Diceros bicornis minor: one gene and its partners. The protein of the gene in region 1 purifies or fractionates together with the protein of each later gene. This does not show direct contact. Links are inferred from orthologs where the notes say so. Each region holds a gene or a part of one and is shown in the gene's direction. Other genes may lie near its edges.

Region 1 (3,746 bases):
CACATATAACTGATATCATATGGTATTTATCTTTCTCTGACTTATTTCACTTAGCATAACATCCTCAAGGTCCATCCATGTTGTCACAAATGGCAAGATTCCTTTCTTTTTTATGGCTGAATAACATTCCATTGCATACACACACACACACACCCCAAATTTTCTTTATCCATTCATCCATCAATGGACACTTAGGTTGTTTCCATATCTTGGCTATTACAAAATAATGCTACAATGAAGTGGGGGTGCAAATACCTTTTCAAGTTAGTGTTTTTGTTTTCTTTGGATAAATACCCAAAAGTGGAATTGCTGAATAATTTTATTTATTTTCAATATTTTTATGCTATTTTGAGGAACCTTCATTTTCCATAACGGCTGCAGCAATTTACATTTCCATCAACAGTGTACAAGGGCCAGTGTACAAGAGCTCATTTCCTCCACATGCTGTTGGTTCTTATCTTTTTGACAATAGCCATTCTAACAGGTATGAGGTGAACTTTTTTTTTTTTTAAGTAGCTACTCTAGAGGTCTGGGAGGCCAAAGGAGCGCATTTGAAATTCAAGCAGTGTTAGATTCCTGGCTTTGTCATTTCCTAATTATGTAATATAGAGGAAGTCACCTAACCTTTCTTGAGCCTCGGTTTCGTTTTCTCAAAATTAACGGCGACAGTCTGTACCTGGTAGAGCATGTGTGTGCATAAAACCAGACAGTGTCTTAAAACACCTAGCAATGACGCTCCCTGGTGACTCCCACCTTCCCCCAGGTACCCTTCGGGGCCAGAGCCGAGCATCCAAGGACAGGCGAGGCCGGGAGAGCGGTTCTACCTGGGGAGCGCGGCCGCCCACTCGTCACGAGCTGGGCTGACCTCCGAACGCCCGGCCCACCTTGGACCAGGCTTCGTGCGGGATGACGGAGCATCCCCCGCCGGCGGCAGGACGGACGCTTCCCCGCAACAGGGGCTCCGGAGCGCGTGGCAGCCCCGGGGCCAGCCGGGAGGAGCCGGGCAGCGAGGCGGCGCCGGCGCCCGCGGCTGCAGCGGCCACCCCCGCCCTCCCCGCCCGCGAACTTGCCGCGGGCGCTGGGCCGCGCTGGCCGCGTTTGAAGTCTCCGGCGCGGCCGCCGGTTGGCGGGCGCGGGTCACGTGCGCGCAGGCAGGAGTTTCCCCGACAGCTGGAGGCTGCGTGGGCTCCGGCGGCGGCTCCCGAGCTCGGCGGTGCGGCCTTCCCCGCCCCCTCCCGCCTCCCCGCCCGCTTCCGCCCGGCTTTTCATCCTCCTTATTGACAAACAGAGCGGCCGCGGCGGCGACTCTGGGCGTGCGCTGGTAGCCAAGCCATGGGAGACAAGAAGAGCCCCACCAGGTAACGGCGCCCGGGCCCCCGGGCCCGCAGCGTGCAGGCGGCGGGGCCCCCGACCCCGGCTTCGGGCGGCCGCCCAGCTCGCCGCCAGGGCAGCGGGGCGAGAACGGGGGCGGCGCCGCTGCCGCGTGAGCGCTGCCGCGTGAGGGGCCGGCGCCGGCCGCCCCACAATGGAGCCGCGATGGCGGCGGCCGGAGCGGCAGCCCGGGGTGTCGGAGCGGCGGCGGCGACTGCGGCCGCGCTCGCGCCCTCCGCCTTCCAGACCCCCTGCCCCTCCGAGCCGGGGCGCGGCGCGCCGGGGGCCCGCGGGGCGGGGGGCGCGGAATGGGGGCGGGGGGCGGGGTGGGGGCGGCCGCGGGGCCCGGGCGCGGCCTGCTGGTGACCCCGCGCCGCGTCGTGTCCGGGTTGTGTCCTGCAGGCCGAAGCGGCAGCCGAAGCCGTCCTCGGATGAGGGGTACTGGGACTGTAGCGTCTGCACCTTCCGGAACAGCGCCGAGGCCTTCAAGTGCATGATGTGCGATGTGCGGAAGGGCACCTCCACCCGGTGAGTCCCGGGCCTGCCCCGCGCGCCGCCGGCCTCCGGTCGCGGCGCAGAGGACGCCCCCGCGGCCGCCGCCCCCTCCCGTGACACTCGCAGACCCGGCGCGAGGACGCGACACTGAGGTGGTGGCCCCGATAGGAACTGGGTCAGATTGATCGCGACGCAAGCGATGGTTTGCGGTGAGGGGTAATTGAAGAGGCTGTCACGTTTTTTGCAGCCAAGAGAGAATAAATTATTTAAGGGAGGCATTAGCTACTGCGATTTAATTCCTATCGCTGGGTGTAATGCCCCCCCCCCCATTCCGGATATAATAACCTTGGCTGCATTGTTGTGTTAGTGTGTAGGAATCAAAGAAAAATCATGAAACTGTCTTTAAGAGCAAAAGATGTAATTCACTTTCATTCCTCAAAAACGTAGTATCTGCTTATAGAATACACAATAAATTAAACTTCCTTTTTTATGTAAATGTCTGGAGGGGTCAGATCAAGGTTTTGTTTAGTGTGTTTATTCTAGTTCTCTAATGTTTTATAAATAAATAGTTGGAGGTGAGCTTAGTCACAGAGACACATTTTTACGGAAAGTATCTGAATATCTTTAGTTTGATTAAATGGCAATCTATTAGACTATACAAATGAAATAAAATGATCTTTGTCTATTTTTAGCCTTTATTTTATTGTAATCTTACAGTGTGATAACTCAGTGTTTTAAAAAACCACTGAAGTGAATTAAGTGGATAAAGAAAATCATCCAGGAAATTCAGTCATTGACATTTTTGATCTGCCAGCACTTAGTTACAGAGTTCCTTCACCTTTATAGGAATGTAGCTTTTGAATTAATTAATTATAATCTTGTGATTTATAGCCTAATATTTAGATAACGTGTTTTGAAATTACCAAGTCTGTTAGAAACTAAATTATCACCAGAGTATAAGTATACTAATGTGAATTACTGTTGTTTATAAAAGGCCTACATGACATTGACATTAGATTTATATATTCATTAGAAGTTAGATTTCTAAAAATGAGATATCCAGATTTGTAAACAGCATTTACAGCATTTTATTTAATTTTTAAAATTTAAAGACAGAATTGGTTCGCAGTACCTTAAAATTTTAAGATTTGCTTAGTGAAGCCAGCTGCTTTTGACATACCTGGTTTTTTGTAAATCGTAATACGCTTTTTGTATATTAATTCTCATTTACATTAGATAAAATATATTGAACGTTTTTCATGATATCCTTTAAAAAGCAAACTTTCATACATCTACTAAATTCAAGGGAATTTAACTGAATATTTTAAAGAGAAAAAAGTACCTATTTGCTGAAACTAATGTGGTAACTATTTTTGGACCCGTGAGTAAAGTATGTTGAAAAGCAGAGTATCTTAAGGTTGCATTGGGTTTAGATTATATTTGTATATCTATGTTAGTACTTTGTACTTTTTAAACTGCTCAATAAGCATTTTCAGAAAATTTGGTTTTTGGAGGCAGGAACTTTAAAGTGGAGACAATTATTATAATCTTAATTTCTGGTACGATATTGTTGCTTTTTGTTGTTCCCTCTCTATTGTCTTGTAGCCATTAGAAAAATACTGAAACTAGAAGAGCCTATATGTTTATTTGCAGGGACAGCAAGGAAGGGGGGAAGCTGGTGTCCTACTCCACAGCCAGTCTTGGGGTTAGAGGAACCCTGAGAAATAGAGTAGGTGGTGGCAGCTCAGAAGAGAAGAAACAGGCCGAATACCTGGCATCTGGAAGAAGAAGGAATATAGTGCACAGGGGAGTTGGCCCAGGACAGAGAAGTGGGCCTAGTTTAAAAGAGGCTTGAGGCCCACATGGGGGCCCCTGACATT
Region 2 (3,746 bases), on another chromosome or scaffold:
CCGAGGTCGCCCGGGTTAGGGAAGTGGGGGGTCGGGGGAGGGGCGGGGCGTCCGCTGGGGGCGCCCCCCCTGGCTTGCGAGACCCTACGCCCCCCCATACACTGAGGCTAAACGGAGAGAGAGTCACACATAAAGCACGAGCAAAAACGCTCGCTCTCCGACCCCGAGCAGCGTTGCTCGCCCCCCCTTCCTGGAGCCGGGGGCTGGCGGGGGAAGGTGGCTCCGTTCTTCCCCCGTGGCCAGTGCGGGGTCTGCGGCTGCCCGGCGAGGTTCCGGCTTCCCCGGGGCTGGCAGGGGGAGCCCCGAGAACTGCAGGCCCGCCCCCCCTTCCTCCTCCTCCTTCCCCTCCTCCCCCACGTGTCCTCCCGGAGCCCAGCGGCCTGATCCCAGCACCCCCCGCCACCTCCCTCCTCCTCCCGCTGCGCCCGCTTCCCCGGCGGCGTGGAGAAGAGCAAAGTTGCGACAGTGGCCGGGGGGCTCTGCCCAGGTGAAGGGGGCGCCGTGGGTGGGTGGGTGGGGACAGCGCGGCCCTGCGGTGGGGGCGGAGGAAAGATAAAGAAACTTGCTTTCTGCGGCCCCCACCCCGCGCGGGTTCGAATCTTGCGTGGACCAAGCCCTCGTGGCGAGACGCGGCAAAGCCGCCGGGACCGAGGCCGGCACCGGGATCCGGACCCGTACCGCGCGCCTGGGCCGGCTCGGCGGGCGCAGGCAGCGGGCCAGGCCAGCACCCAGGCAAGGGCGGAGTGGGTGGCCGCACACCGGACCGAACCGGGGACTCCGGTGGCCTGGGCGCGGGCCGAACCCGGACCGGGCCGAGTTGGGTGGCGAAGTAGGACGTGGATTCGGGGGCGGGGCGCGGCGGGAGGGGGAAACCAGGCCCTGCCGGACTGGCCTGGGCGTGGGGGCGGGGGGCGAGTTCGGGGCACTTGCTGGGCTCGGGACCGAGCGGTAGGGCGGGGCGGCGCTAGGGGCTGGGCCGGACCAGCGGGGAGAGGGCGAGGGGAGGGGGAGCCGGGGGTGGAGTAGGGGCGTGGAGTTGCGAGCGGGGTCTGGCCTCGGCCGGGGGCGAAGGTAGATCGGCGGGGCCGCCAGCGGAGGGAGGGAGGCCCGCGGCAGCGCGGCGGAGGCGAAGGCCAGCTTCCGCGGAGTTTGTGCCCAGGCTTCCCGGGCTCCGGCCGCCTCACGCGCACAAATGGGGCTAGGGGACAGACTGGTAAGCAACTACGAGTGTTAGACGGTGTTCGGCGGCGATTCCGGGAAAAGCGAGGAAAGACACCGTCTGCAATTATGCCGCACCCCCCACCCACCTCTTAGCATCTGGATTCTGCTCTCAGGGGGCCTCGGACCCTCCCCGCCAAACCCTTTCACTCTGCAGCTCTCCCACCGCCTACCCCGCTTCCTCGACCATCTGACTCTCCTAGGGGTATGTGTTTGGGGGTGGACGACGGCGGGGGGGGGTATACTTTCTCTCCCGCGGCGGCAGCCTAGTTCGTATCTTATTCCTACATGGAGCGTCGCTTCGAGTCGCGTGGACATTGGGGTTTAGATAATCTACCCCCCACTAACGCCCCCCCCAAGCGATTTGATGGCTTTTAAGGAAAGGGACGAATCCCTGGATTTCCACACCTGGGATGAGGTTTGAGGATTGGGATTCACCCCCAGCTCACTTCCACTACCAACCCCTCTTTCCTTGTGAGCCATTTCCACGGGGATCCGAACTTGGAGGGGGAGAACGGGAGTATTAATGTGCTTCTCTATCTCTACACAGGGTCGGCGTGGCCAAGGACGGCTAGTCTCGGAGGGAAAGTAGCCACCAGTCCAACTCAGGTCGCCCCCATTATTTCTTCGGTGAGGGGGGCAAAGCTAAGAAGGGGATACTGGTGGGAAGGGGCCTTGTATAAGGGAGGGGGCTGGGTAGTCGACCCCGGAGGGACTCCGTTTCTTGGCGGGGAGGGAGACACGAGCCCCGGCTTCAGGGGAGGGGTTCCGGGGAGGGAGATGGGGGGGTGGCGACGACGGGTGGGGGGGGGCGGGAAGAAGGGGGGAGTCACGCCCTGCTAGCAAGAGGAGCCTCCCTCAGGCCCCTGGGAGAGGGGGACTGAATGCGTCTGCTCTGTGCTGCCCAGCAGGGAAGATCTGGGGTCTCCGGGTTTGCACACTAGATCGGGCACCAGTGGCCTGAGAAAGTCAGGTTGGGGCATAAGGTGGAGAGCGTTGGAAGAAAGAGAGAGAAACCCCTGGCCGTGGCGCACTAATCTTTTTCCCTTCCTCAACCTCCCCCTTCGAGGGGCGTCGATCCGGGGGGGGGGCGTGGGGCTCTTGCAGTCCCTCGGATTGAGCGCCTCCGCCTCTCCTGGGAGTCTAGCTTTTTGCCTGGCTTGCTGCAGCCAACGCTGCCTCCCTCTCCGGAATCCGCTCGGTCCTCGCAGCGATCCCCTCCTCCCCTCCCCTCCCAGTGTCACCGGGGCTGCTTGGCTCTGCCCCCTTCGCCGCCGCTTGCTCCCTGCTTTCGTCCCTCCCTCTCGCTCCCTCCCTCCCTTCGCCTCCTCCTCCCCATTCCTCCCCCCCACCGGGCAGGCGGCATTCTGGGAGTTGTAGTCCCACGGAGCGGGGGCTGGCGCCGCCCGCGGACCTGGCCGGACTCCACTTCCCGTCGAGCCCTGCGACCGGCACCCACTCCACCAGGCTTCGCTCGCACACACAGACACACACACACACCGCTCTCCCCCTCACTCTTTCGCTCGCCGCGGCTGCTGCCAGTGTGTGGCTCTGTCTCTCCTCCGCTTTGCCGAGCCCTCCCTTCTTCCTCTCAGTTCCTAGAGTCCGACCGCCGCCGCCGCCGAGAGAGGAGAAGGAGGTCGGTGGCGATAAGGGGCGGAGGGGGGCATCAGATCGGAGCAGTATTAGGCGGGTGGCGGCTCAGACGGGGTAAGAGGGAGCCCGGGTGGCGGCCTGAACCTCCCCGCGGAGCCGACCCGGGAACAGGTGCGTCTTTTTTTTCTCTCCCCCAACCCCTCCACCCCTTTTGACTCCCCGGCTTTCTCGTATCCCCCACCCGCTTCTTTCTATCTTAAACCTTTCCCCAACGCTGTCCCTTCTTCGCCCCGCAGCCGTGCTGCTTGCCCCCCGGGGGCGCCGTCCTCTTCGTGTCCCCGGACGTAGCGCTCCCTGGAGCTCGCTCTGTCCTCGCCCCTCCCTTCGGGACAGCTCCCCTCCACTTCCCACCTTCGTACCCCATCCTTGCCCTGCCCTACCCCCTCTTCACCCCCTTCTCCCTTAGCCAGGTGAGACTTGTTCGCCACGATCCGAGACTCTTCTTCCTGGCTGGGCGGGGGTCTCCATGGAAACGGGGGTCGGGTTGATCCTGGGCGAGGGGGACCATTGGAATTACCCCACTTCTCAGAAAGGGAGGTGGAGGCTACGGTCTTGTTAACTACCTGACCCCAACCCCCTGATCCAAGGATCCGACGATCCGAAGGGAGGCTGGCCAGCAGGGCAGGGCGAGAAAGGGCTTGTTTTTTTTTGGGGGGGGGGCTGTCCGTGATGAAGTCTTGAAGAGACTGGGAGAAAATACCCTCCAACCTCAGAGGGGAGGTGCGACGGGTGCTCTTCAGGGCTGCTTTCTCCCCGGTGTCGGGGTGCAGGAACCGTAGGGTAAGGGGTACCCCTAGGTGGCGGCGGGGCCTGGGTTCGGGAGTGGGAGTGCTGTGTTGGGGGCAGGGGCAATTATCCGAGTCCCTGGAAAA
Region 3 (3,746 bases), on another chromosome or scaffold:
ATGAATTGTTTTCATTGGGGGTTTCATGGGAGTAGAATGTCAGGTATTAGCATGGGGGTCGGTTTGCGAATACATTACAAAATTAATTCCTCCTGATATACGACCACGTTTTCTCACCGTTAGCAGGCGGTGCTTTTCTTGGTTCCAAAATACCATAGCTAGATTAGGCTGAACCAGAAAATGTAATAGGGCCACCTCTCTGGCCCCTTTAAAATGCCTCCTGCTCTTCCCACACCCATTTTTCCTACAATAGCAGTAAGTTTCCCAGGAAAGGTCTGGTCTTCTATCCCAAGAGAAATTCTAAGTATTATTTCCACTCCCTAGTGGGGTTTGTAGTAAGTCGTATTTAAATTAGCATTCTTTTCCACTTACCACGAAAGGCTGATAGTTTACTTGTAGGCAAATACCTTTGCTGTTTTTTGCAATATTTACAAGGGCACTCAGCAGGCACTGACTAAATGCACGCTCCACGAAGAAAGGTAAGCGGCTTCCCTAAGACCACACAGATCGAACAAGTAGGGGAAGGGGGACTGAAAGTGCCTGTTACATCCAGTCACACTCCCATAATTACCCAAATCGCCTCATTCCCAGCCCAAGGACCGGGCTTTCACGGGGACAAGAAAAGAACACCCGGGAGGTGAGAGCCAGGAGATCGGGAGAGGTGCTTTTCCCGGCATGCTCTGCAGCACACTGAGGGGCGCCAGACGTATCCCGGCGTGCATCGGGGAGCGCCCAAGGGCGATGGTTCCCGGCTCCTGGAGGGGCACGCGAAGTTAGACCGGTAGGTGTGAGCTTACTTAGTTTCGAGACCCTGCTTTCTTGTTTCCTCTTTATTAATGTAACCTCATAACGGCAGAAAAGAAGGTCCTCTAACTACCCTCTCTTTCCGCGTGCGAATGACTTTCGCCGCCGCTTCGAGCACGGTGCCAGGTGATTAGCGGTTAGGGGAGGGCCTGAGGTGAACACGTGACCTAACCTGGCAACCAATGACTAGCCGGGTGGTCCAGCAGCGCGAGGATTCCCGGACCCGTGAGCAGAGCGGCGCGTGGGCCCGCTCCGGTCGGCCCTGGCAGGTATGCGCAGGCGCTTTGGTCCCCACGCGCCCACTGGCGTGTATTTGGCGGGAGGTGTTAAGAGCCTGTCTGGGTGTTTTTGTGGGTAGGGGGGAAGGAGAGGGTGGGGGGCGATGCGTCACGTGGACGCCCCAGCCAATTGTAGGCCGAGGCGCACCCACAGCTTTCCCCAGCGCCCCGGGGTGCGACGTGTTCAGTGAGGTTCGGCTCAGCCCTGACGGTCTGAGCGCTCTTTCGAGGCGCGTGTGCGGCCTGTAGAATCTGGCCACGGGTTTTCGTGGCGTCTTGCTCTGCGGTGAGCACGGACGACAAGTTCTCGGCAAAATGGCTGCTGGAAACAGTCGCCTAGTAGGGGGAGCGCTGGGGCCGCGTGAAGGTCACATGACGAGGTTGGCAGCGCGTGCTGCTGGCGCGGGGGAGGGGGAGGGGAGAGGCCAGTCACGTGGCTTCGACTGCGCCGTCCTGTGGCTTTCAAGGGCCTTGCGGCGGCCGGATTGTCTGCTTTTACTCCTCCCATCTCGAAGCGTGGCAGGCGTCGGCGAGAGGCTGTGTGGTGTGGTGGAATGAGCCCTGGTGTGAGAATCAGAAGACCTAGGCTTTTGGTGGTTTTGCAATTAGCAAGTCGTGTTGCCCTGTTGGTCTCTATTTTTTCGTTTATATTACAGCTCTATATAGGAGATTATTTTTTTTTAAGGGCCTTCATATGGCGTATGACCTCTACCCAATCCCAATGTCATGTAGATAACAAAAGAATTAACAATGAACAAATTATTAACAATTATGAGACAAGCCCGTCTCCCCACAGGAAAAAACCCACAACAATCCAACTCGTCATTACAGTTATGTAAGAAACCTGGTGGAGGTAATTTGTATTGGGCACGTCTGTCCATATTTATCAAGTGGCATTTATATCTGGCCACAGTCTCATTTGAAAAGTATGCTGTATTTTAGACGTCTAGTCCCTATGTGTTTCCTGGAAAGAAATCAAAGGATAAGTAGTGTTGTCGTTAACTATGGAGATGAGGAAACAGAAGTAGTTAGAAGGGACTTGCTGATGCCGTATAAGGCTGACTAGAAGGACCTAGAAGTCTCTGTTTGGTGGGCCAATCTTTAAAATTTTTGACGCTTTCTGCCACCAGCCATTGGTATTTTTCATGGTTCTCTGCTTCCAGTTCCAGCTCTTCATTTTACCAAGGATCAAGGCCTTGGCGAAATGAAGCAGGCATAAATTATATATTTTTCATATCACTGCTTATGTTTTATGCTACCCTTTGATGTATCTTAAAGAGCCTTTGAATTGTGTGGGAGCACAATCTGGAAAATATTTGTTGAGCAATGACTGTTAATAGTTATCACTTTTGAACAATTATAATAATAGTTAACATCTTTCTAGTGTGGTACTTTGTGTCTTAATTCGTTTAGTTATCATAACAAACCTATGAGGTAAGTACTATTATCTCTATTTTTCCAGTGAGGGAAATAGCAACAGAGAGACTAAGTGATTTGCACAAGGTCATATGGCTGATAATTTTATGGAGTTTTACAGAATTCCTACCAGAATTCCTTTTGAAAATTTGACAAAATGATTCTAAAGTTCATTTGGAAGAATGAACCTGTAAAGTAGGAAAAATTTTGAAAGAGAAAAGTGAGGGCGAGTCCTTGTATAGTGAATATATGAATAAAGCCATGATAGTCAAAACAATAAGTAGTCACTCGGGAGTAGACGGAGCAGTGGAACAATAATCTAGAAATATATAAGGCTATTTAGTATTATAAGGGTGGCATTTTATATTAGTTCAGAAAGAATTTTGGCATTGTGTTAGAATAATTGGCTAACCATTTAAAAAAATGGAATCCTTAAAATGTAAATAAAATAAAATCCAGGTGAATTAAATATTCAAGTATAAAATGTGAAGTCAGAAAATTACCACTTGAAAGAAATGAGTAAACAGGTTTTCAGTCTTAAATAGGATGAACTGTTCTAAGCATGACTGCAAAGGCAGAATCCATAAGGGCAAACATTGATAGAATTGTTGCATAAAATAACTTGTAGTTGGCAAAAACACCATAAAGTTAAAAAGATAAATTTATTCATTCAATATTCATTTAACATATTTATTGAGTGCTTATTATGTGCCAGGCAGTTTTTCAGGTGTAAGGGATCCAGTGATGAGCAAAGCCAGGCAGATTATGGAGAAAAACATTTGCACCATCTGTTGAACCTAGAGGGTTAATAACCTTAATATCTAATAGATAGGTAAAAGACATGAATAGGTAGATCACACACACACAGAAATAAAAATAACCAATAAAGATAAAAATACTATTTTTCACTTATAAACAAATAACACAAAACAACCTTTTTTCCCCCAGTCTGACAGATTGGCATATATGTAGCAAAATGTTAGTACCTGGTATTGGCACAGGAGTGGGGAAATTGGCACACTCATACACTGCTGTTGGTGGATATTTACATTTGATCATCCTTTCTGGAGGGAATTTTGGCCATACTTATTGAAAGCATTAAAAACCTGTATGTCCTTTGACTCAGTAGCTCTTCTTCTTTGTTAAGGCACTAATTGGTAAGTTTACAAGGATGTTCATTTAAGAGTTGTCTTTGAAGTATTTTTTATAATAGCAGAGAACTGGTAAAACTTAAAACGTTAAATAATA

Evidence for each region.
Region 2: the proteins of YAF2 (region 1) and BCORL1 purify together in Homo sapiens (affinity purification with mass spectrometry; 5 studies listed by BioGRID and IntAct, counting the BioPlex papers as one, with this or other methods). This does not show direct contact. The link is inferred for Diceros bicornis minor from reciprocal best matches to the Homo sapiens genes YAF2 and BCORL1.
Region 3: the proteins of YAF2 (region 1) and MGA purify together in Homo sapiens (affinity purification with mass spectrometry; 5 studies listed by BioGRID and IntAct, counting the BioPlex papers as one, with this or other methods). This does not show direct contact. The link is inferred for Diceros bicornis minor from reciprocal best matches to the Homo sapiens genes YAF2 and MGA.

The regions. Positions count from the first base shown.
Region 1 is NC_080756.1:26,722,392-26,726,137, forward strand, and holds the start of YAF2 (YY1-associated factor 2), read left to right. Parts: upstream 1-1,206; 5' UTR 1,207-1,332; coding exon 1,333-1,358; intron 1,359-1,773; coding exon 1,774-1,899; intron 1,900-3,519; exon of another isoform or gene 3,520-3,746. UniProt on the Homo sapiens protein: Binds to MYC and inhibits MYC-mediated transactivation. Also binds to MYCN and enhances MYCN-dependent transcriptional activation. Increases calpain 2-mediated proteolysis of YY1 in vitro.
Region 2 is NC_080781.1:118,704,501-118,708,246, forward strand, and holds the start of BCORL1 (BCL-6 corepressor-like protein 1), read left to right. Parts: upstream 1-1,110; 5' UTR 1,111-1,423; intron 1,424-1,768; 5' UTR 1,769-1,827; exon of another isoform or gene 1,828-1,848; intron 1,849-2,719; exon of another isoform or gene 2,720-2,985; intron 2,986-3,746. UniProt on the Homo sapiens protein: Transcriptional corepressor. May specifically inhibit gene expression when recruited to promoter regions by sequence-specific DNA-binding proteins such as BCL6.
Region 3 is NC_080744.1:39,273,843-39,277,588, forward strand, and holds the start of MGA (MAX gene-associated protein), read left to right. Parts: upstream 1-1,025; 5' UTR 1,026-1,073; intron 1,074-3,746. UniProt on the Homo sapiens protein: Functions as a dual-specificity transcription factor, regulating the expression of both MAX-network and T-box family target genes. Functions as a repressor or an activator.